Nothobranchius furzeri: one gene and its partners. The protein of the gene in region 3 interacts with the protein of the main gene of each other region in a pairwise test. Links are inferred from orthologs where the notes say so. Each region holds a gene or a part of one and is shown on either strand. Other genes may lie near its edges.

Region 1 (7,915 bases), about 5.5 Mb from region 3:
CCACTTCCTGTAGGTTAAATCTTTTCTCACGTGCCAACAACAAAATAAAGATATCATTTTATCTTAAATGAAAATGCAACATCTCACTTGTTAACTTTCATGTTCTGGAGCAGAAAAAGAGCATAAAACCAACATATTTAAAGCTCAGTTTGTTCCACTGGTTTACTGTGATGCTCACCTGTTCCAGCCAGATACCTGCATCATGGGGCTGACCTGAGCTGAGGAGGAGACTCCTGTTGTTTTGTTCATCTTCATCATAATAATGACATTAGATGACAACAGGTGCTCACCTTATAGGTTTGTGCTGATGAACATGTCTGAGCAGCTTGACCACGTTGTTGTGAGTCGGGGAGGAAACACAACCACAGAGTCGTGCTGGTTTTAGCGTGTCACTTCTTGCTGGTTATATCAGCTCTGTCTGGAAGTTAGTTTGAAAACTTTCTCTTTAAGTCGTGAACACATTACTGAGCGGCTAGAATCTCCGTTTCTGGGCTTCAACGTCAGAAAACAGCTGAGTGAACTCGGCGCTGAGTGAGAGGAGTGTAGTTTGTCCGAGACAGCGGAGCTGCAGACACCCAACTACCTCTGACTGCCTCGGCGCTGAAAAAACACAAAGGAGGGGGCGCGTCTGCTCCGCGCTGGCGCCGCAAAGCATCATGGGAGTTGTAGTCTTTGCGGTAAAATCGGCCAGCGGGCCAGTTTTAATATATTTTTGATATATATCTCGCGGGCCACATAAAAATGCTCCGCGGGCCAGATGTGGCCCGCGGGCCTTGACTCTGACTTATGTGATCTAACATCATAGTGTACCTCTTAGCCAATAGCGATGGCAATTTAAATTCAAATGCAGTGCAGAGTTTTTACCAGACGACGGTGCATCGCTGACAGTTTTAGGCAGAATATTTAAATTTTAACTAAAATGCCGAATTATTGAATACATTTGTCTACAGCACGATCAGACACTCATTTATATAGTTTATCAGCAAAAAAATGTTGATTTGGAGTGACTTGCTCTTTAAAAAGACCTCAGCCCTCATGATCTGTGCATGTTTAGTGCGTGGGAACGATTTTACGTGTGGCATTTGCCAGTTTGTACTTGTGCGTACAAATGTTCCTCAACATAAGAACAGCTCTGACCACGCGTACGAACAGCATCTAGGAGGTAGACCGGGGGAACAGCAATCATAAAGGTCTAACCCCTTCTTTCCACCGGAGCCGTCAGCAGCACGTTACTGCAGCAGCACGTCTTGCTCGCGTAAGCTGCTGCTTGGCCCTTCCCACGAGACGCAAAGCAGCAGGGGAGCAGCTGTCACCGACAGAGCACAAAGTCCTCCTCTGCTCTCCAATCATGCACGCAACCAGACTGAATGACAGCTGAGAAGAGGCAGAGGCTTCACTCAGACAACATTTCCAAATGAAACTAACTCCGAACAACCCGTAACTCTACGATTTATCAAATCCACTTTGTATTTATTCCTGACGGGAACCTCTCAGTCCCGTTCATGACCTTAGCAACTTGTTCTTTTTTGCGCTTCGGCAGCCAGTGTTTCGATCTCGTTGTCAAAGTTTTTCTTATTTTTTCTGGAAAAAGAAAAACAGGGAATCCCCTCACGTGCTGCGGACATAGCGTAACCAAATATGGTTAATTGAGGGTGTTTCTGTATGTAAATGACGGTGAGCGGACACGAACGCCTGGGTACGCACAGGTGGGATTTATCAGCAGATGACTGCGGAGATGCGTACGTACGAGAGGCTCCCGCACGTTTAAGTCTTGACTGTTCGTACACACATTCTAAATTTTGGTCATAGGAGGGAATTTAGGACATATGAACATTTGATAAATGAGGGTCCTAGTGTGATCTGTAAGTGCTGTCAATAAAACTCTGTGAGATCAAGAGCTGTAGCCATCTTTGTTGGGTAGGCTGATGTTGACTCAAAGGTTTAAATTAGCTCTACAACCAAAGAGTTTGATCTGACTGTCTAAAAAAATCCACCCAGTGGTCCACAGAGTCCCCACAGAGACAAATCTGACCCAGAAGGAAACGTAACCCGGTCTATGAATTACAACGCAGACTAAAACAGAACCATTGACACTTGCCACACACACAACCAGTGGTTAAATCTTGAATCCAAGAGCCCTCATGCACTCTTTATGTGCCTCGATGAGGTCTCTGCAGTTCTCCTCTCCCTTTTCAATGATGCTGAAGGAAAAAACAAGGGAGAAGTAAATGTTTTCTACACGCCAAAACAGGAACAGCTCTTGTGTCTATGAGCAGGTTCTCACCAGGCATCCCTGACTTTCTTAGTCTCTGGACAAGCGCAGCACGCTTTCAGACGTTTCGGCTGCTCTGCAGCTCCAGTTACAGCTGGAGTCTCAACGCTAGCAGCACACAGGGAGGACATCTTCTAGCTGAAATATAGAAGAAAAGCAAAATTCAACGGGACAATTTTAAATGTTGAGTGCACAGTTGCTCATCTACATGTCCGCCAACCATGTTTCTCGGAAACGAAACAAGCAAGAAGGTCCGGATCTGACCCAGGACATGCTGGAGACATAATGGGTGTTTCTCAATGCCAAGGAACCTCGTCTTGATGTCCTGGCCCCACCCCGATTGCCTAGGAGATATGTCATCAGGAGCCGCCAAGACGTGTTCCAATGTTCATGTTCTGCCGAGGCGTGTGTTCTCCGTTTGTTAGCCGTTTAGCTAGCTGAGCGAGGAGACGCGGGAGGTGTCTTGTAGCCTAGCATTGGTCAAAAATTTCCCAGAATACACCACGGTATTTTCAAAAGGATGGCAGATCAGAAGCCAGCAACTACTTCAGGGCAAATTTAAAGTTTAAAAGTAAGTCAGGTAATTTAAAATGTTTTTTTTTAGATCCAAAGCAGTTATCTATGGTTGGTTAGTTGCTGTTTAGTTGCAGCTTCGGTGGCTAGCGGGGGGTAGTAACTCGCATATATTTAATTTAACAAGCTTATACACAATTTAAAAGTAAAAGGCTCGTTATATATTTATATTGAAACTAATATGTATTATATATATAACATTATCTCCCGTGTCACGTGACGTGACGGCCGTGGAAGCCACAGTCACAGGATGCAAGTCTGTTCCGTTTAACCATTTTCTTTGACCAAGGAAGGACAGTGTCCTCGTAAGCAATGTGCCTAGCCTCACAAGGCCAGGTGCCTTCACACTGATAAACACCCAATATCTCTGGGCTGCCTCAGGAAACCTCTGGGTCCCACCGGAGATGATGACATCGTCTGGGGAAAGCTGAGGAAGATAACTGAGTTTGGAGATAAATAATAAGAAGAAGAGAGGCGGGAGCGTTCGTAACAAACTCAAAGCGATAGTCAAAATATGAAGCATGAAATGGAGTTATACTAGTGGCTCCAATAAGAGAAAGAAGCAGCATGCTTCATAAAAGCTTTTATTTTCACTTCTGAAAGTGACGTCGTTTTTCGGTGTAAACATCAAAAAGAAGCAGAAAGGAAAGACAATGGAAAATGTTTAAAGGGGGGGAAACATAGACCAAAATGGAAAATAGAAAAAAAAAACTAAGGCTAAAGCACAGGAGCACTGACAGGAAAAGGAAAGCAGAGCAAATATTGAAAGCACTCAAAGGGAGAGAAAAAAAGGAAAAAAGAGGACTAATAAAAAGGGAAAATAACTCATGTCAGAAGAGGGAGGAGTTTCGCAAATCTAGTTAAAGGTAAGATTGTTGAAAATTTTGTGTAAGGGGCCCCGTGTCTGTGTTCGCCTTGGGCCCCCAAATTGCTAAATCCGCCCCTGACTGCGGCACAGACGGAGGTTAGCTGAATTCCAAGGACTTGCTATAGGGAACGGTGGTTCGCTTAGGGACTATCAACAAATTTGTAGTCCTTTGTAAACGAGTACAAAAGAAATTAAAAGCTTCCAGAATAATTTGCTAAATGACTCAAAATTACTTCTGACTTGTGTTACTAAACTACATTTACAAGACACAACAGTTTTAACACATTTCAAACACTCTGATCTTTTGTATTAGGATTTTATTCCAAATCAAATTCAAATTACAGCATTTACCCCCCCCACACACACACACACACACACACACACACACACACACACACACACGTGGACTGACGTAAATTCCAGAAGCCTGAACTCAGAAACAGAAACTAGCACGGAACTTTCGGCACCTTGAGGACTTTTTGGGCATCGAAACGTGCCTTCATGACTTGTTTCGCCGTGCTGTCTCTAGTCCTCTAGTCCAACACCAGACGTTGCGAAACGATTACATTAAGTTAGCTAGCACACATTAGCTAACATGTTCCGTCATATTTTAGCTGATTTCTTTCCAGATAGACGCAGCGGTTAAATGAACGCATGACGCAGCGCATCATTTAAAATCTCTGCTGATTATTAACGAGACTAACTTATGAAAAGTAATGCTGACTTACCTGTATCGAGTCCACACCAGCTGGACACTTTCACCTTCAAATTGACAATATCATCCGGGTAACAAGGTCACGTGGAAAATTTATTTCCACGTGACCTTGTGTTTTACGCTTCTGGGAAATGTAGTTAATTTGTGCAAAAAATCAGAAAAACTATTCCAGACTAGCATTTACATGATAAAACTGGTAACAAATCTAATGTTTTGGTGAGGAATAATGAACTTTGATCTGAAGACACTATTATGCCAAGAATACAGTAAGTTAAAACAAATTTACTTTGGCTGTATTTAGCTAAAACTTAAATTCTAAAGACTATAATTAGCCATAACTAGAATAGAATAGAATAGAATAGAATAGAATAGAAATGTTATTGACATCTTGATTGTCTTTAACACTGGTGGTTAGACAGCACGGAGGTGGCATTACAGACTGAACCTGGCAGAGTCCCTGGAATCAAGGCTCAATGAAAATGCATTTGCAGATACCGTACATCCTCTAATACAGGCCCGGGCCTGTATTTGACTAAAGCTCATCAAGCTCCAGGCCTTTATTGGAAGGAGGACCAGAATTAGAGGCAGGCCTCAATTTCTGTTTGAGCAAAATGAATTAATGGTTCACTGGAGTTTTTGACAATTAAAATTGCGCCCACATTTTCAAAGTTAAACACATTTCTTTTAACAACGGTAGTTTCTGCTTCAGCTCTCTCCCCCCCTCCCCCTGCGCAGCAGCCGCAAACTCACTGATGCGCCTGCAGCCTCTCGGAGTTCCTGCTGCTCTAAACATTAAAATAATTATTTCATTTTCTGTTCCTCACTTCTGATTACCTTCAATGGTGTCTGTTTGTTGCAACCACCAGGTATAAAAACTAACTTGTTTTTATTTGACTATTTTTCTGTCCTGCCTGTTTATTATCTTCCCGCATCTCCTCTCAATCCTAAAGAAAAACTGCTACCTGGGTTCATATATATTCACCTTATGAGTTACCTTTGAACTGCAGTTCTAAAAGATCTACCGACCGCAAAAACAGCAGAGTGCTCGGTGCTTGCTGGCCGCATCAGTGAGGTGCGTCACCGGAGGACAAGGTGATGCGCCCCGCTCCACAGCAGCGAAACGCATCAGGCACAAATAAAAGAATAAAAGACATAGGATTTCCGGACGCAGCTCTCACCGTTCTCCATTCCTCCCAGCCGGCCCGCTCTCCTGCTCTCCTCTCGCTCCCTCTCCTGGACACCCCACTTGGATTCACCCCGGCACCCAACCTACCCTCCCTCATTCCTACGCTCCCCTACTCCCAGTAAGTCTATTCTCTGCACCCACCAAGTTTAGACTTACCTTCCTGGACTCACCTGATCTGCCCCCCCCCCCCCCCCCCCCCCCAGACGCTGCGCTCCCATTCCTGATCTCCACTGGGCTTTTCCAGTGCACCTTCAGTTCCCGTTTTAAAGATTCTTTTTTTTTTACCATAAGATCTGCAAACTCTGCAATAAAACATACATAGCGGAAACCGGACGCCAACTCAACACACGAACAATAGAACATAGAAAGGAATGCGAGAAAGAGGCAAGTCGAAAACACACAAGAGCAGTGAAAGAAGAAGCAGAAAGCACAATAAAGAAATCAGTAACAGATCACTGCATAAGAGAAAATCATATAATGGACTGGGACAACATAAGGATCATAAACACCGAACAACAAAAATACAAAAGATGGATAAAAGAAGCAATCGAGACAAGGAGACGTGGATGTGGGACCATGAACAGGGACGATGGAGTTTACACGTTGGACCGCGCATGGGACTGCATCGTCGGAGAGGGGAGAGTGGGCAGCAGAGGGCGACAACGTCCTCTGCTGCCCGCGGATAAACTGAGAAGGAAGTGACGCCACCATCAGCGTCAGCCTGAGGAAGTTTGCAGCCGCAAACGAAACGTAGCGGGAAAACGGGTAACAAAACTGTTCTGTGTTTTAAAAAAGAACTACAGCATGACACAAAAACAACCCGAATTTTCTCCGAGCCTGACAGTAATAGTCATGTGGACTGTTTCGTCGGCCAGGGCTTCGAGATGTGTTCCGATTCGCCGCTGATTCTAACCTTACATCCCGTTCCACATTTTGTGAACTTTAAAAATCAGCCCAAAGGCAGTGCAGACTGATATTAGCTAAATTAAGTGAACCACGTCTCTCAAAATTTGCGTTTAGGTAGGGAATTGACTTTAGAAGATGTTAAAACTTTTATTTAGCTTACTCACCTCAGACTGGAGCCCGCCATGGTGGGGGAGCAGAGTCGGTGGGCTGCATCTAAATCCAGGAAGAGCCACAGTGGGCACAGCCTCCCTCTTCAAACGGAGACATGCAGAACAACCCAGTTCAAACTCCATCATGTTGGTGAAGGAATCGCGGGTAAAATGCTGGTTGCAAACTACAGCACCAGGCGGGAACTGACTGTTTTCCAGACACCAATTGCGCGCAATCACTGGTGCCTAATTTCTAAGTCCAGCGGAAAGGAGTACAACCCCACAAAGCCACCGCAACCACACTACACTACACCTTCTCACCATACTAACACGATATGGAGCACTAAGCCCAAACTACTTTCCTATTAACACTAACAGCTAAACACTAACTAAACTACAATATCCAACAGCCAAGCTAACACTAAATAAGTATGTATAACACTGAAAGCTATGCTAAAGATTAGGTTATGCTAATGCTATATGCTAATACTGAACTACCGCTAACCTCCTACACTCGCTTGCAAATCCAAATCCCAACTCACCACAAGGCGTGGCCGAGACTCTCGATGCTTTTATAACTTTGACACAGAGCTGCTACGTAGTACTCTACTGGTTTACGTAGTATCTTTCTCTTTAGCCATTGGCTAAAGTGTATTCAAAATGACTCAAACTCTATGTTTTAAGCTGAAGGTGGCGCTATACTGTGGTATTTAGGCAGAATTTTTAATTTTTAAAGAAAATGCACCAAAATGCTAAAATAATGAATACACACATTTAAAACACTATTAGACACTCATTTATACAGTTCATCAGCAAAAAAAAAAGTTAATTTAGACGTTACTTGCTCTTTAAGATCTGCCAGGAGGAGCTGGAGAGGGTTGATGTGGAAGAAAGAACTTCGGAGAGGTGAAAACTAATTGATGGATGGATGTTCTTTTGTCCCACAATTCAAGTAAAAATGTCTGTGTTTATATTATTTATAAAATAAAAACTCTGCGTTAAGAGCACCAGCTGCAGAAATAAGAGTTTTTTCTACCCGGTTTCTAGCTGATACTGGTTGGTCTGGGACAGGGGCGTCGGACTGGGGGGGGGAAAGGGTACCGTTTACCCAGGGCCCACTGCAGGGAGGGGCCCTGAGACAGCTTTGAATAAAAATGTTTTATTGTTGTTGTTTTTTCCCCCAACTTACTTAATGTCTTAATAAACTTCCCTTTACCTGGATAAAGAGGTTAAGAAACAAAATTTC
Region 2 (7,730 bases), on a different chromosome or scaffold from region 3:
TTTAAAATGACTTTTGTCGTCAATGGCAGTGAATGAGTTAACATTCATGGACTCACCCATCTTGACTCACAATGGGGAAGGCTGTTGTTTAAACAGGAATCAGCACACAGTGACCCAACTAGTAGACGCTAACTGTTAGCATTAGCAAGACCATGACACAGGAAAAACTCCAGGCTTGTTATTTGTAGAGATAAAATATCAACGTTGCACATCAGTGGTATAGTCATGTTGCTGTTATCCAATCTGAAGCAAGATGTCCAAATATCAGGAAATAAGACTCCAGTTCCTGCTGAAGCTCAGCTCTGATGTGGCTCACTTCTAACTTCTGAAAATGGTGCACCGGAGCTTTTTTAGCCCCAAGTATGGCTTGCAAGGCATTCGTTCCTATCAGAGACCAGTGCACATGTACTCATTAGATGAGTTTCCTATACCTCTAAGGACGAACATCCCCTGAAACATCATTAGAAAACCTGCTTCAACATTGTTCAGATTTAGTCAAAGAGATTTATTTAAAAGAAAATTAAAAGAATAATTTGTTTTGACAGTTTACATTATATAATCAAACATCACAGGAAGAGGCAAAATGAAAACAAGCACTGGTAATAACTTAAAGACAGGTGGAGATTCAAGTTCCCGATTCCAGAGAAACCAGGTGAAAAACAAACAACAACAAAAAAAAACAGCAGGGCATAGAAAACAACGCAGAGCGGCACAGGAAGAGACAAAGACATTGGCACTTCATAGAGCGACATTACACCCTGTCTCACCAGGTCCACTAAACGTGCCCCTTCACCAGACGGTCCACTTCAATGTGAAGCAGTCATTTGCTGTGCAGGCAGGACGTTGAAGCCCTCCTCAGGAGTCCTCAGCTCCCAAACTGAGAAGATCTGTCTGAATTGTCAAGTTCAGTCCCAGATAAGAGGTTTGAGTGTGAAGAGAATGCACCAGTCCATCTCTCTGGCAACATTATCAGTTGAAAACACAACCGTGATCAGCAGTAGTGGTCTTATCCTCGGAGTGCTTCAGCAACACCTGTCAGGGCAGCTGCAACAGGTACGCCTCAATGGCCTGCAAAACAAGAGTCAGCACATCGTTATTAGTACAGCTAGATGGAAAAAGTCAGCATTATAAGATGTAGTGTTAGATTTAACACGCACTTATGAAATCATTTTCAAACAGAAATGTGATAAAACCTTGAAAATACATTAGAATTGAAGCACTTTGAATGATTTATGGCCCCTGTAAGAACCTTGTATAAAAGAAAACTCATGATGGATATATTAAGGATGTCATTTATACCTTTGCCAGTTCTCCAATAGATCCTGGAACCGAACATAATCGAGATCCTTCCTTCCACAAGTCCTTCAGTCGCTGTCTCATCATCTCAATGTTTCTGAAATAAAAAAATGATACCAATGATCCCGTATTTCGTAATATTTCTGTCATGTGGAGAACTGGATTCATGTTACTAAGCAGCATGATGATTTCACATGAAACTAAATCTTCATGCCCAAAAGGTTTAGTTGATTTTCTGGAGACAATAAAAACTTTGAATCCTGAAAACTCTCCAAACTTTTAGTCTCCAGATTTTATCTGAACCAAGTCTCTCTCTAGACCAATTTCAGGTTCTGTTTACTGGTTTTGACAACAGAACGCACCAAAGCCTCACAATAACAAATAACTCTATTGCTTTTATTTCCATGCAGGTTTAATCGTTTTATTTTTCCATATTTGAACTTTTCAAGACGAGTAACAAGTCTTCACAGGCCACAAAAACGTAAAAATTGTTTTTATGTGTTTTGCTCAAAAAATGCCCAAAAGGCACAAATCTTAGCACAACATTTTAAAATAAGCCGAGTCTGTTGGAGGGACAAAATCTAGCTAGAGAAATGCTATTGGACCATACTTTTATACGCCCGCTCTAGATGATGTCATGTAGTACTGGGCACCAGTTCGTTCCAGTACTCTAACGTGTGCACTGGGGTATATTCTGAGCATCACAGCTGTCTGTTCTGACATCCATCACAGAAGTTTGAGCCATTAAAAATAAAATCACCTGCTGTCCTTTACTAAAATGCTCACCTGTCATCTGAACAACTGTCCCGCAGTCTCTTCTCACTTTTAGAAAGATCTGGCCACCACTTTTTGACGACAGACTGGATCCAGTGTAAACCTGCGGTTATGTGTCTATAAGAAAAACAGAACAATGAAGTTCGAACATCTAGATATCCTGATTATATGACATTCAGTCACAAATGCAACCTTAAAGCCCACTCAACGCCATTGCAAGCCTGCTGGAGAGCCCTCGCACGGACGGACGGAGTCAAACACACTTTTCTAAACACCCGTTGAACAAGACAGAGAACGTAAGCTTGTGATTGGTCAGGATGCTGCTTTTGACAACAGCACAGCCAATGGGCCCAAAACACAAAGAGAGCTGAAGATATCTAGCAGCACACAGAGCAACTTGAAGATTACTTCACGGAAAAACTCTTAAATATGAACGTTTTATTGAGGAGTATACGCAGAAAGCGTTTTACTGGTGGACCGAAATTAGGGCTGAACGATCTATCGTTTTTGGACCGAAATTGCGATTTCAAACAGCACGATCACGTGAGCGTCAAAACTGCGGTTTTTGACTGATCCAGGATCAGTAGTGCAACTATTTTTTACATCCGGGGTTTTCCCCGTGTTATGGCGGCAGCAAAAGCCAGCGCGGGGGAGGGGGGTGGGGTGTACCGTCCAGAGCTGAGCCCAACTCCACAGCTGCCAAAGCTGCATGTTCAGGTTGATTTCCCGGTTTTATGTTCCCACACACAGCGCTGCTAGAGCCGATAATAATGGCACCGTAGGTGAGCCCGGGACAGAGAGAGAGAGAATGTAGTTGAGTAGGGGAGAGAGAGACTCCTCCCACATCAGCAGGTTCAGGCTGGTTTCTAAAGCTTGGTTTACGCTTCATCAGCGCGAGTGCGGAGTTGCGCACTTTAGTTGACTTAAAAGCTCAACTTCTCTTTTAAAAACGGTTTGAATGTTTCTGACGGCACAAGCTAGCTCAAACAAGCTAAGGTGTCAGAATAATATACTTACTCTTCATGTTTACTGGAGAGAACCACTTTGACGTGAGGCATGAGGTCAACACAGCAGCCAAGTGACAAACACGGCGTTTCAGTTTGAAGGCTGATGAAACAGAAAAAAAACCACATGCGATGGAAAGCAGACACGTGAATCGCCCACCTTTCAGAGGCATAGTAAATATTAAACTTAAAACTTTAGAATGAACAACCATGAGGTAAAAGCCAAATGTGACTTACTTGTTTGTTAAGACCGGTAAGCAGTCGAGCAGAACGCTTGTGTCTTGTATTCTGGGAAGCAAAAACAATAACATGTAACTGACAAATAAACACTAAACACCAAATGTGAGTGGTGCTTTTACCTTATTAGATAGGACACCAATTCACTGGCATTTCTTCGCCATAATGTTAGTGCAACTTTAAGTCGAAGATCTCTTCCAAAAAGGATGCGAGACATAGCTTCGTGTTCCTTCGATAACTACTCAGAAACAAACAACCAACGACGGCTCAAACAGGGTGGTGTTTTTCCAACTAACACTCAGCTTCAGATCAGTTTCTCACCTCAGTGAAGTCGCTGTACTTAGAGCTGGCCCCTGCCATCTTGGAAGCCTCTGCAGAGTTCACCAGCAGCCCGTGGTTATCATAGCAGCGAATGCTCCGCACATCATCGGAGCACGACAGCTCATTTTCTTTGTTGGCCATGCCGGGGTCACGGGGACGGCCTACATCTGACAACCTGCAGTGAAGCTTTGTGCCCACCTCCACTGACGAACAACTCTTCCTCTTGCAAAACGACAACCGCTTCACTTTGCCTGGACTCTGCTTTCTGAAATGCACCGGAAATCTGCCAAAAGAGACATGGAGATTAGCGCAGGCCGTGAAAGTTTAAAAACAACGTTTAGGGTCACAGACGTTGTGATATATGGTCATGGAAAGATGTCTGAAGGTTCCCGTGGCTGGAAGGGGTGATCTGTGGCAGAATGAGTGAATGATCACATTTGGATGAACCCCACATGTGGATTAGAGACTCACCTGTTCTTATCTAATTCTTCCTTATTTTTAATTTCCACCTAAAACAAAAGGATAGGGGATGAGGCCACTCCCACAGTCTCTACTACAACACCACTGAACGGCACTTCACTGTCACCAGGACTAAACCAAACAAGTACTGCATTTAATACAACAAAGCTGTTGGTTCTGTGGCTTCATACCTGCTTCATGATCTTTTCAGTAGAAACGTGCAGACAGGTTCGCTGAAAGCCATTGGATTTATGGTTGCTGACATTAAAGGCTTTCTGTCGGCAAACATGCTTACCAAATGCCATAATAAGGGACGCTGTTGGGACAGAAAATTAGGACAATCATTGATAATAAAACTGCTGTTTCCAACGCTAACTTAACATGTTGGCTAACTTTTAGCTAGCCTCCGAGCTACGGTGCAGAGTGATCCAGATCGATAAACAGACGCTTAACTTGGAATAAACTCTGAGGCATTGGCCGCTTTAAGCTCAATATACTGCAGCAAAAGTTAAAAGCTACTTTTTTCTTCGCTAAACATGAAACAATCAAGTTAGGAAAATGGAAACACTGCATTTCTCAGCTATAAAGCTGCTTCATGCGTCAACAATGACGGTATTTTTAGCTTCGACTAATAGCATTTAGCTTAATTATGAAGAAAACACCGAGACGTGGAAAGTAACTAGCTGGGCCGCGCTAAAAGGGTTAGCATTCCACCTCAGGCAATTTACAACTTCATGCTAGGTAATTAAGAAAAGCGTATATTTCTCCATTTACATGGTAGATTTAAATACCAACCGGTTCATTTTGTTAAATCCAACAGGTCCCCTCGGGTGTGTAAATCCGAAAGCAGAAAACCAGGTAAAACTGAAAGTTCACCTCCCGTCCGTGTTAGCAAGTCTGTTTTACCATTCAAATGAATACACCACCCGGTGAGGAGGGATTGTGGGATATATTTTGGCAAAGAAACGCCACAGTTTCTGTAGTTTTAGCGGCGACTGTCGGACGTTTACACAGCAGCAGTCACTAAAGAAGTCTCCACTCTGGCGCCATCTAGCGTGGAGTAGCCCATAATGCAGCTCGATTAAGAACAGGTAGGGTGTTGCATCTAAATATGTCCCCCGTCATAAACTTTTTTTTAAATGGACAAATATACAACTAATATGGTTTATACTTTCAGAAAAAAATTCTGCTTTAAAATGTACTAAAACAGACTCCTTTTTAATCCAAATAGGAGCAAAACAAGAAGAGTTCAATTTAAAAATGTAGAATTAAACAGGGAAAAAACAAAACACTGAAAACAAAACATAACACTACAAACGAGAGTTTTTTCAAGAAGACTGAATTCATTCATCTTATTATGCATTCCTAAATCTTGTCTTTTGTCTATAAACTTTACAGATGAGATAAAAGACCCCCTCAATTCCACCAGCACGTCTTCTAGTGAGGAAGAATGGTCCGGGGACTTTGGGTGACAAAGCTTCAGGGGTGGATGAGACCTGCCCGGAGTTCCTTAAGATTCTGGATGTCGTAGGGCTGTGTTGGCTGACGAGGCTCTGCAATATCGCGTGAACATGGGGGCAGTTTCACTAGATTAGCAGACTGGGGTGGTTAAAAAGGGGGACCGCAAGATGTGTTCCAACTACAGGGAGATCACACTCCTGGGCCTCCTTGGTAAAATCTATTTTGGGGTTCTGGAGAGGAGGGTACGGCGGATTGTCGAACCTCGGATTCAGGTGGAGCAGATCTTTTAGTTATCAGGCTCCTCTCCTGTGGAACCAGCTCCCAGCTTTAGTCTGTGAGGCAGACACCTTGTCTACTTTTAAGACTAGGCTTAAAACATTTTTATTTGATAGGGCCTATGGGTAAAATCTGATGTTAACCTAGATCTGGACAAGTGGGGGAGTAGAGGGAGGTGTAGTGTACAGTCGGTAAAGACGGCTCTCCCTTGCCCTGCCTCCAACATGCCTCCATCTAAAAGGCTAGGTTATCCAGAGTTATCTCTGTAGTTATGCTGCTATAGGCTTAGACTGCTGGAGGACACACTGACCACTTTCCACACTCGACTACTTTCTTCTACAATCTGCTCTTTAACTGTATTATTTCCTGCTATTTCAGCTTTTAACTTTATTTTTTCTCTGTTTTTTCTCCCCAGAAGAAGCTACAATGATGTTCTGTTGAGCTGTGGTGGCCTCATGGAGGGGGCCATCGGCTTGAACACTGTTGCTAATCATTTAATCATTCTCCCTCTCCTGATAATATTTTACTTTCTTTGACATTGCATGTGCTACTACTAGTTTAACTGTTTAATTATAGATCCACTAAGATAAATACAATAAAGTTTATAACTCACCAAATAGAATATTTACTAAGAAATCACAATGTTACCATAGAAACACTACTTGGTGTGTGTGTTGCGTGTGTTTTGTGTGTGTGTGTGTGTGTGTGTGTGTTGTGCGTGAGTGTGTGTATGTCTGCTCTGTATTCTCCATCCCCAGTGAGTCGTGGAGGATGGCTGCTTATACTGAGCCAGGATCCTCTGGAGGTTTCTTCCTGTTAAAAGGGAGTTTTCCTCTCCACTGTCGCTGCATGCTTGCTTAGTATGAGGATTGTTGTAAAGTCACTGACACTAGTCAATGACTCGATGCAATTTGCTGGGTTCCTTATATACGAAACTTTTTTCTGATTGGCTTAATGAACTGACCTGAATTGGAATGTTTATTATGTGAAGTGCCTTGAGACAACGTTTGTCGTGATTTGGCGCTGTATAAATAAACTTGAATTGAATTGAACTTGAGGCAGGACCTCATCCCTGACCTGGAGAAGGCATTCTACTCTTTTCTGACTCAAGACCATGGTTTCAGATTTAGAGGAGCTGATTCTCATCCCAGCTGCTTCACACTTGGCTGAGAATCACTCCAGCTAAAGCCAGAGATTACATTCTGATGACTTTTTAAACAACACTTTTTAATTGAATTCATGTCTTTCAAGGCTAAAGTGAAATTGTTGGTTTATAAACACGTCACAACATCCCTTGAGATGGACTTTCTTCATCTGTAAGCATTAGAGCCACGGTGATGAGCTCAGACCCTACAGCAGACCCAGACCACAGTGGGGAGATTATTTATACTTATATCTTGGATCAGGTGTGTTAATTTTGATGGGAGCAGTGATTCTTTGCTGCAGGGCATCCCTGTGTTAAATAACAGCTGCTGTCCTTGAATGTTCTTGTAGCAACTCTTTGTCCACAAATTGAAACTGATGGCAGATCTCAGAGGGTGTGATTTCAGCATGATGGGATTCAGTGACAGACTCACAGGGCAGGTCTGATGAAACTCTTAGAGAGACGCTTAAGAGTTCTGACTCATCCAAACATCTCTGGGAATTGTGTCAGAAAGCCTCCAACCAATACAACTCCAACTCAGCCGACCCTGTGCAGCAGTCTGCATCCACCTCCCCCACCAACCCAGTTATCAGTGTTGCTCATCTTCTCGTGCAGCACAAGCGACCCCGGGGACCCATCAGTCTCTGATGTAATGATGTCTAACAAGCATCAGCTGCTGCTGACTCAGACTTTCACATTCCTTCATTTTACTTCTCTTAAAGCAAAGCTAACAGCTGACAAGTTTCACTCAAAAAAAA
Region 3 (8,070 bases):
AATATAGTTTCTTGAAGTCTGTTTACTGTGTCCTCTCTCAGGGTTAGGCTTCAGCAAAAGCATTTCTGTCATGTTAGAAGATCATTTTGGGAGTTTTATCAAACTACTGATGATAAATATGTTTTGTTAAACTTTATTTGAACCAGTTGGGTGTTTTTTCTTTTTTGTATTACTATTTTCTTATGGTTTATATATATATATATATATATATATATAAACCATTCTCAGTTGGTTTGTTTTCAGCACTATCTGGGGATTTTGTGGACATTTAATATTTTAAGTTATCGGTTTCTAATTTTGAGTTAAAACACAAATTAAAAACTGCTTATTGTAATTAGAACATTTTACTTTTTTGTCGTACAATTGTTGTGATTCAAAAACCTTTCTAAATGACCACGTGGTCGAAATTAGCATCTCAGTCAGAGCAGTCTGAGATGCTCTGTCTGAGATGTTTTTGTGTGTATTCTGATTAATGAGTTTAAGCCTGACTGGTTGTTTTGTACACATGAGAAGGAAATTAAGATGTTCCCGTCAGAATAAAAATCCATGTACATAACATTTATTTGTCCAAGATGGTATTATTTCATGTTGAAACTGGAAACAGTTGGATCAAAGATGGTGTGTTCATTTTTGAGATTTTTGTTGGAATTTTCAAAACTAGCTCATGTTTGACAAAAATTTGACAAAATACCATGTAAGTTGTGCAAATCTATAACACACAATTTTAGAAAAACACATTAGTCATTCACTGAGTGGTAAATGACAATAATTGTTGTGCAATACTATAATGTACTTATCACTTGAAATTGTATAAATGTTAGTTTTTTTAGACTGTTGATAATGTTCAGTAAATTTGTAAAGAAATATGTTGAATTTAAATGAGAAAAATGTCTAAAAATAATAAAATCATCAACTGAGAGAAAGTTTTTCCATCAGTTTCCCTTAAAACATATTTCTTTGCTTTATTGCAACAACGTGCATGAAATTTTAATGTTTAAAATTTAAATTAATATTTAGAAAATCAAGCATATCTGTAAAAACTTTTTCCTCGTGCTTTACTCATTGAGCAAAACAGGCAAGCAAATCATAAAACAGCAAAGCAGTCAAATTTATTTAAACTACTAAATATTGTTGGAATTAAAAAATATTATTAAGATAATACCACATCTTTGGACAATTATATAATTAAACTGATTTATTGTGTTTTTGTGCTTTTATTGTTTATTTTCTGCTACTAGGACTTCCCCAGGTGACATTCTAGCGGCGATTTTTCATCTTCTCGCGATACTTCACTGCCGTGACGTAACACTCCAAACATGAGCGATGTCAACAAAACACAGGAGGAATGGGACTCAGTTTTCAGTGAAAACGACTCCTTAGAGCTCTTCTCCAGCCTTGAAAATGACAACAAACAAGCTCGAACGTTTAAGATTATCGTCATAGGAGATTCTAATGTGGGGAAGACGTGTTTGACCTATCGCTTCTGCGGGGGCTCTTTTCTGAAAAACCCGGAGGCGACAATCGGAGTGGATTTCAGGGAGAGGACGGTGCAGCTGGACGGAGAGAGGATCAAGGTGAGAAGGCTCTTAAAGCAATCAGATGTTTTCAGTCATAACAGAACTTTTTATGGGATTCACGGCAAAAACAACATTTTAATAAAACAACTTATTTAGCTACATCAGATATTTAGATTGTATTACAGTATAAAGCAGCTGTGGCACAAACCAGCTGTGTTAGATCAGATGGCCTTTCTACTGACATTAGACTACTATGGTCAAGTCTGCTTGGAGATGTGTGCCACAGACAAAGTGTAAGGAGTCAGATTATGACTTGATGTGTTTTTGATTCTATTCCAGCTGCAGATTTGGGACACAGCTGGCCAGGAGCGGTTCAGGAAAAGCATGGTGGAGCACTACTACCGCAGCGTCCATGCCGTCCTCTTTGTGTATGACATGACCAGTCTTCTCTCCTTTGAGAGCATCCCTGAGTGGATCAGCGAGTGCAGCCGACACTCTGTGGGGCCCTTAGTGCCTCAAGTGTTGGTAGGAAACAAATGTGACCTGAGGGAAAGTTGCCAAGTGCCCACGTCGGCTGCTCAGTCTCTCGCTGACAGCCACAACATACCTCTGTTTGAGACCTCGGCCAAAGACCCCAGTGAGAAAGAACACATCGATGCGATATTTCTGACTTTAGCTTACAGGCTGAAAAGCAACAAGACTCTGAGACTGAAGCAGCCGAGTGAGAGCAGTCTCAGGGAAATGCGGGACCAGCAGGAGCAGGATGCAACATCTTGTCGATGTTGAGGTTATCTGTGTCCCAAATGAGCGGAAAGTGAACGTAGATCCTGCAGCAGACTTTAAACAGATAATCGAGCCGGTTTAAAAAAATGTCTCTAATTTGTGTTTTAAAAAAATTGAACCGAAGCTTCCTGTGATTCAAAACTGGACCCATGCCACAATGTAGATGTATACGTTTGTTAACCAACCTTTCTGTGAAATGAAAAAGGGGAATGTGGGTGTATTCCAAGTATTTGCACTTTAGATGAATGGTTATGAATGACTTGCATTATTCAAAATCATCACCCTTCTTAAAGGATTCACTACTAGATCACAACATAGACTGTAAGTATTATTTTTGAATGTAAAATCACAGAAACAGCTCAGTCAAAATCAGGAATGCAATTTTAAACATGGAACTGTCTTTGGACGGGATTTAAATACATTTTATTTACAAAATAAATTTGAGTATTAGTCCTAATAATGACGATTAACTCTCATCAAATATGGTATTTATGCTGCATGTATACAGCAGTATAGTTTTCGCAAAGCTAGAGATTTCTGACCATGTAAAGCAGCAAATCAAATAAAACACTTTTTATCTGGATTATAAATGTGTATTTTTGACTATTCTGGTTGTTGCTCTGTAACATTAGCTCAAACATGTCAGGTAGCTGGTCTTGTTTGACAAAGGAACTATGTAAGAATAAATCAGTTCTGATATTATCTCACACTCCCTTTAATAATATTAATGATGATAATAATTAATGCAATATGCCAGTCTCTGAACAAGAAAAGTTTAATTTATACAGCTTTATAATTTAACTAACTGTTGATGAAGATACTTTACAATAAAAAGAGGCATATGGTAAAAATGTGCTACAATTGTCTCCTATTTGACGTAATTCTAGCGCCCTCTAGCGGACAACACATGTAACTAGCAATAATGCGTTACGGAAAGTTACGTAAAAGGGCGAGTCTGTAATTATAAGTACTAGTTTAACCTACTTATTAAGAAGAATTCTATTTGTTAAGCTTTGTTGATTAGTTGTGCTCTTACAACTGTGACTGATTAATGTGCATGCATAAATAAAGGGGCGGGGTGCTGCTACCGGTCCCCATTGAATAGTGCCTGCATGGTGTTTGTTTGTTCCTCCGTCAAGGGTAACTGGCCGTCGGTTCTCCTGTCTTCAAATGGCTGCGTCAACACTATTAATTAAGACTAAAAATAGCTACAAAATCTACTTCTTTATATGTAACGTTGACGTGTGGTGACAGTTTTCAAGCGGTTCTTCGCCTAATGGAAGCTGTGTTGTCATTTTTACCAGCTTTTTATGGGTAAGTGAAAGCAGCACGGTAACCAGGCAGTCTGTATTCTCTTCTCGGCGTCTCCGCGACCACAGCTCTCTTTTCTGGAAGACGACGTCAGAGAACACCTGTCCGTCAGACGTTTTTCGTGTAGGTATGAGTATTATTCCGTGGATAAATGTTTAATTTACGATAATGGTCGCCATTGTTAGCTTGTTTTGGAAGCTCCACACGAGGAGCCTTTTCTCGCTGACACGATTCGGTTTGTTTGTTTGTTCATTTATTTATGAGTTATCTGACCGCAGGCTGTTGACGCTAACGTAGATTGTAAGGGAGTGTAAGAAAGTAAACAAGCTTATATGTAATGTCCAGCTAAATTTCCCATGAGGTGAAGTTCACTGCCCACCAGCAGCTAGCTTAACCTGCATGTAGTAGGTTGCAGTCTCATTCTGATAAAAGCAGACGTCTAGATTTAATCTGTTGTACATTTACATTTAGGGGGCGTAATGACAAATGCTGGGTTGAATTTACATTTCGAACAGCCATCGGTAGCCAGTGCTTTGTTATTCTTCTTAGACATGTTTGGTTCCCTCTTTTTTTTTTTAGCTGTCTTTCAACATGAATTTGGCTGAAATCTGTGACAACGCCAAAAAGGGCCGTGAATATGCCTTACTAGGAAACTATGACTCCTCCATCGTGTACTACCAGGGTGTGATTCAGCAGATCCAAAAGCACTGTCAGACCCTCAGAGATCCAGCACTTAAAGTGAGATGGCTGCAGGTGAGTCCCTTGAAACCTGGTCTGAACCATTTTTGAGCTTTTGTTTAGGTTCCTCGCCCCTGTTGTTTTGTCTATTGTTACACGATCAGAGTCTACCAACATCTGATGGGTTTTAAAGTATTAAAAAGTGGCAGATTGTTCCAGTAGAGCTGATAATTCTGTCAATTATTCCAAAACTGAAGGCAAGTAACAAATATCTTGTCCTGTGTAGACACTGTGGCACGTTACTAAGATGTTTTGTGGTCATAAAAATGTTGAGAATCCTTCCATATGTGGCACCAAAGTCAAACTCCAGCATGTGAAGGTTAGTGTGGATTGTTTAAAAGCACTCCACACAAGGTTGACCCGGAGACACGTGGAAGGATGGCTTTTGTTAAAGTGCACCTACGCAGATTTCTAAGGAGAGAAGCCTACAATGACACCAGTTTCAACAAAGTCAGTTTTTTGTCGGCTGAAAAAATACACTCTTGCAACCGGGTTTTCATGTAGAAGTTCATTATCCATCGACTGCATGTGCAAATGAATGCATTTTATCACATTTTTTCCGTGATTCATTATTTATTCTCCCTTTTATTGGTAATCAGCTCAGACAGGAACTGACTGAGGAGTACGAGCAGCTGAAAGGCATCATGGGAACACTTGAGAGCTTCAAGTCAGTGAGGCCTGCTGAGGTCCTCCCCTCTAAGGTGGAGGAGCGACCCGAGGATCCAGCTGTGTGGCCTCCACCCATCCCAGCAGAACACAGGTGGGTAGAGCTGGTGTGCTGCAGATTTCATTGCTTTTGGATGAAGAAAACTAATTATAGAAAGCATGTTTCTAAGTTTGACAATGGTAGATTTTATATCAGCGGATATAAGCAGAAATGACCCATGCCTATTGTGTTTTTGTAAACCCAGGGAGCACGGCTGCGTTTGTGTTTCAGTGATCAGAGTTCAAAAAGAAACTCAGCAGAGCAAAACCGGCAGAAGGAAGCACTTTGAGTTTATTTTGCATAATCGGTTTAATCTCTAGAATAATAAATAACTATCAGAGATCGTCTTTTACCTGTTATCCTGTCTGAAACTGCTGGTATTTTCAGCTATTATCCATCTTTCTATATCGTATTCTTTGTAGGAATCCTGTTGCAGCGAAGCGGCCCAACAGCGCCGTGAAGCAGCAGCAGAAGAAGGACTCTTCTGGTCTGCAGCATCGAGGAGCAGGGCCAGGAGGCCGTGCCCAGGTCAACCCCAAGGCAGCAGGGGCCAGAGACACTCGGGGTACAAGGGCCAAAGACGATAAGGTCAGGCAGCTGAGCAGGCAGACATGTTGTTGGAGCCTTTTATTAAAATATCCTTTTCTCTGCAGGGGAAGAAACCAGATCTACAGGGAGATGCAGAACAGAAGAAGTTTGATGGTACAGGATATGACAGCGACTTGGTGGACTCACTGGAGAGAGACATTGTGTCTCGTAACCCCAACGTTCACTGGTATTTATATTTTAAGCTTTGTAGCAGATTTCTTTCTGCTCTGCTCACTGGTTGCTCTCTGATCTGTAGGGACGACATCGCTGATCTGGAAGATGCTAAGAAGCTGCTGAGGGAAGCCGTGGTGCTTCCCATGTGGATGCCTGACTTCTTTAAGGGAATCCGGCGGCCGTGGAAGGTACAAAGGCCGGATGTGTGCTTTCATCCTACTTTAGGATCAAATTCGGTTTAATCTGCTGTATAATCTCAGATTTTCCTCTCGGTTAAACTTCATCATATGAGGCCTTTTTCCCTTCAGGCCCAACATGTGAGAATTTTTAAAACGGCACAGCTCTTGTACACCAAAACTTTCATTTTAGAAATTGATGCAGGGCAGATTTTTCACCAAAAAATCTGTAGGAGCAGCAAAAACAAGAATCCATAAACGGGTTTAGAGGAGAAATACATCTGAGTGCAGGTTGCCTGAAATCTACGGAAGCCCTAAAAGGCAACTGAAAAAAAAAATTCTTGTGGCATTTTTCAAAGTTTTTATTTATTTATTTATTTTGCACAGCCCAGAGAGGCAAATGGAAAAAAGTTCTTGTAGCAATTTTCTAAGATTTTTTTTTTTTTTGGCCAGAATTCGAATCAGAAGGGAATCACAACATTAGGAAATTGCTGCGATACTTGGTGCAAGAAAATTTTAATGATTAGCAAAAATTATAATAAGGAAATAAACACAATGAAATGATAATAATGTATACAAGCCAGTGTAGGTACTGGTCCGAGCGGACCTATCAGTTAAGGTGCAAACACAACACATGGTCATGTGACGGAAACAAAGCAGCTGGAGTTGGCAGTTCTATGATTGACATTCATGAGTCTGACCACAGAAGGGGAAAAAACTGTTCGTGTGGTGAGAGGTTCTGGTCCAAATGGATCGGGCCTCCTGCCAGATGGGAGTGAGTCAAAAAAGACTGTGTGAGACGGGTCAGCTGTGATCCAACCTGCACACCACAATGTCCTGGAGGTGTACAGGTCCTGTATGGAGGGGAGTTAGCGGCCAGTTACCTTCTCAGCAGAGATCATGACGCGTTGCATTCTCTTCATGTCCCTGATGGTAGCTCCAGCATACCACATGGTGATTGAAGAGGTGAGGATGGACTTGATGACTGCGGTGTAGAACTGCCTCATCGACTGTCTGGTAGGCTGAATTTCTTCAGCTGCTTCAGGAAGTACATCCTCTACTGGGCCTTTTTTATGATGGAGGTGATGGTATGCTCCCACTTGAGGTCCTGGCTGATGGTGGTGCCCAGGAAGCGACATGAGTCCACCATCATGATGAGTGTCACACAGGGTTGTGGGGGGAGTGGGGCTGTGTGCTTCCTAAAGTCCACGACAACCTTGTCTGTCTTCTGGGTGTTTAGCACCAGGTTGTTGTGGCTGCACTAGGACACCAGCCGTTCGACCTCCATTCTGTAGGAAGACTCATTCCCATCAGAGATGAGTCAGATGACGGTGGTGTCGTCTGCAGACTTGATAAGCTTGACAGACTCATGGTTAGAGGCGCAGCTGCTGGTGTGAGGGGAGAGAACACAACACTGATGGTCTGCAGGTCAGAGACATTCTTCCTCAGCCTCACTTGCTGCTTCCTGTCCACCAGGAAGTCAGCGATCCACCTGCAGATGGGGTCGGAGATTGGGAGAGCTTCAGCCTTTGTTTGTATCCTGGGATCAGATGGATGGTCACATGGTCAGAAAGTCCGAGTGCAGTGCGGGGCACTGCATGATAGGCTCTCGTTACCATGCTGTAACAGTGATCCAGTGTCCTCTCCTCTCTGGTTGGGCATTTACTATATTGTTTATATTTGGGAAGCTCCTGGCTCAGACTGGCTTTGTCAAAATCTCCCAGAACAATGATGAGGGAGTCCGGGTTCGTCCGCTCCATGCACAATGTCTGTTCCGCGAGCCGAGCCTCATGCACATCCGAGTCTGGCGGGATGCAAACAGCAGCTGGAATGAATGAAGCAAACTCCCGTGGAGAGAAAAAATGGTTTACAGTTCATAAAAAGATATTCCAGAGGGGGAACAATGCTGAGCGATTGCTGTAAGATCTGTACACCAACCATTATTCATGTAAAAACACACACCTCCACCTGTTGTCTTGCTGGAGAGAGCCGCTTGCTGATCGGTGCAGAGGAGACGAAAGCCCTCCAGCTGGAGCGTGCTGTCCGGGATGCCCTCACTGAGCCACGTTTCCTTGTA

What was found.
Region 1: the proteins of katnal1 (region 3) and cox17 interact in binary tests that used the Homo sapiens proteins (3 or more experiments, as listed by UniProt). The two-hybrid records come from large-scale screens. The link is inferred for Nothobranchius furzeri from reciprocal best matches to the Homo sapiens genes KATNAL1 and COX17.
Region 2: the proteins of katnal1 (region 3) and katnbl1 interact in binary tests that used the Homo sapiens proteins (3 or more experiments, as listed by UniProt). The two-hybrid records come from large-scale screens. The link is inferred for Nothobranchius furzeri from reciprocal best matches to the Homo sapiens genes KATNAL1 and KATNBL1.

What each region holds. Positions count from the first base shown.
Region 1 is NC_091754.1:33,353,265-33,361,179, reverse strand, and holds the start of cox17 (cytochrome c oxidase copper chaperone), read right to left. Parts: upstream 4,873-7,915; 5' UTR 4,442-4,872; intron 2,411-4,441; 5' UTR 2,404-2,410; coding exon 2,285-2,403; intron 2,202-2,284; coding exon 2,117-2,201; 3' UTR 1-2,116.
Region 2 is NC_091742.1:12,530,937-12,538,666, forward strand, and holds katnbl1 (KATNB1-like protein 1), read right to left. Parts: upstream 5,025-7,730; 5' UTR 4,887-5,024; intron 4,408-4,886; 5' UTR 4,397-4,407; coding exon 4,283-4,396; intron 4,142-4,282; coding exon 4,104-4,141; intron 3,916-4,103; coding exon 3,633-3,915; intron 3,550-3,632; coding exon 3,434-3,549; intron 3,363-3,433; coding exon 3,312-3,362; intron 3,178-3,311; coding exon 3,088-3,177; intron 2,188-3,087; coding exon 2,083-2,187; intron 1,394-2,082; coding exon 1,300-1,393; intron 1,069-1,299; coding exon 1,036-1,068; 3' UTR 491-1,035; downstream 1-490.
Region 3 is NC_091754.1:27,837,865-27,845,934, reverse strand, and holds the start of katnal1 (katanin p60 ATPase-containing subunit A-like 1), read left to right. Parts: upstream 1-3,562; 5' UTR 3,563-3,734; exon of another isoform or gene 3,735-3,738; intron 3,739-4,190; 5' UTR 4,191-4,202; coding exon 4,203-4,364; intron 4,365-4,948; coding exon 4,949-5,109; intron 5,110-5,477; coding exon 5,478-5,643; intron 5,644-5,708; coding exon 5,709-5,830; intron 5,831-5,899; coding exon 5,900-6,005; intron 6,006-8,070. Other genes in the region: zgc:101559 (ras-related protein Rab-33B), read left to right, coding at 1,317-1,574, 1,857-2,303. UniProt on the Homo sapiens protein: Regulates microtubule dynamics in Sertoli cells, a process that is essential for spermiogenesis and male fertility. Severs microtubules in an ATP-dependent manner, promoting rapid reorganization of cellular microtubule arrays.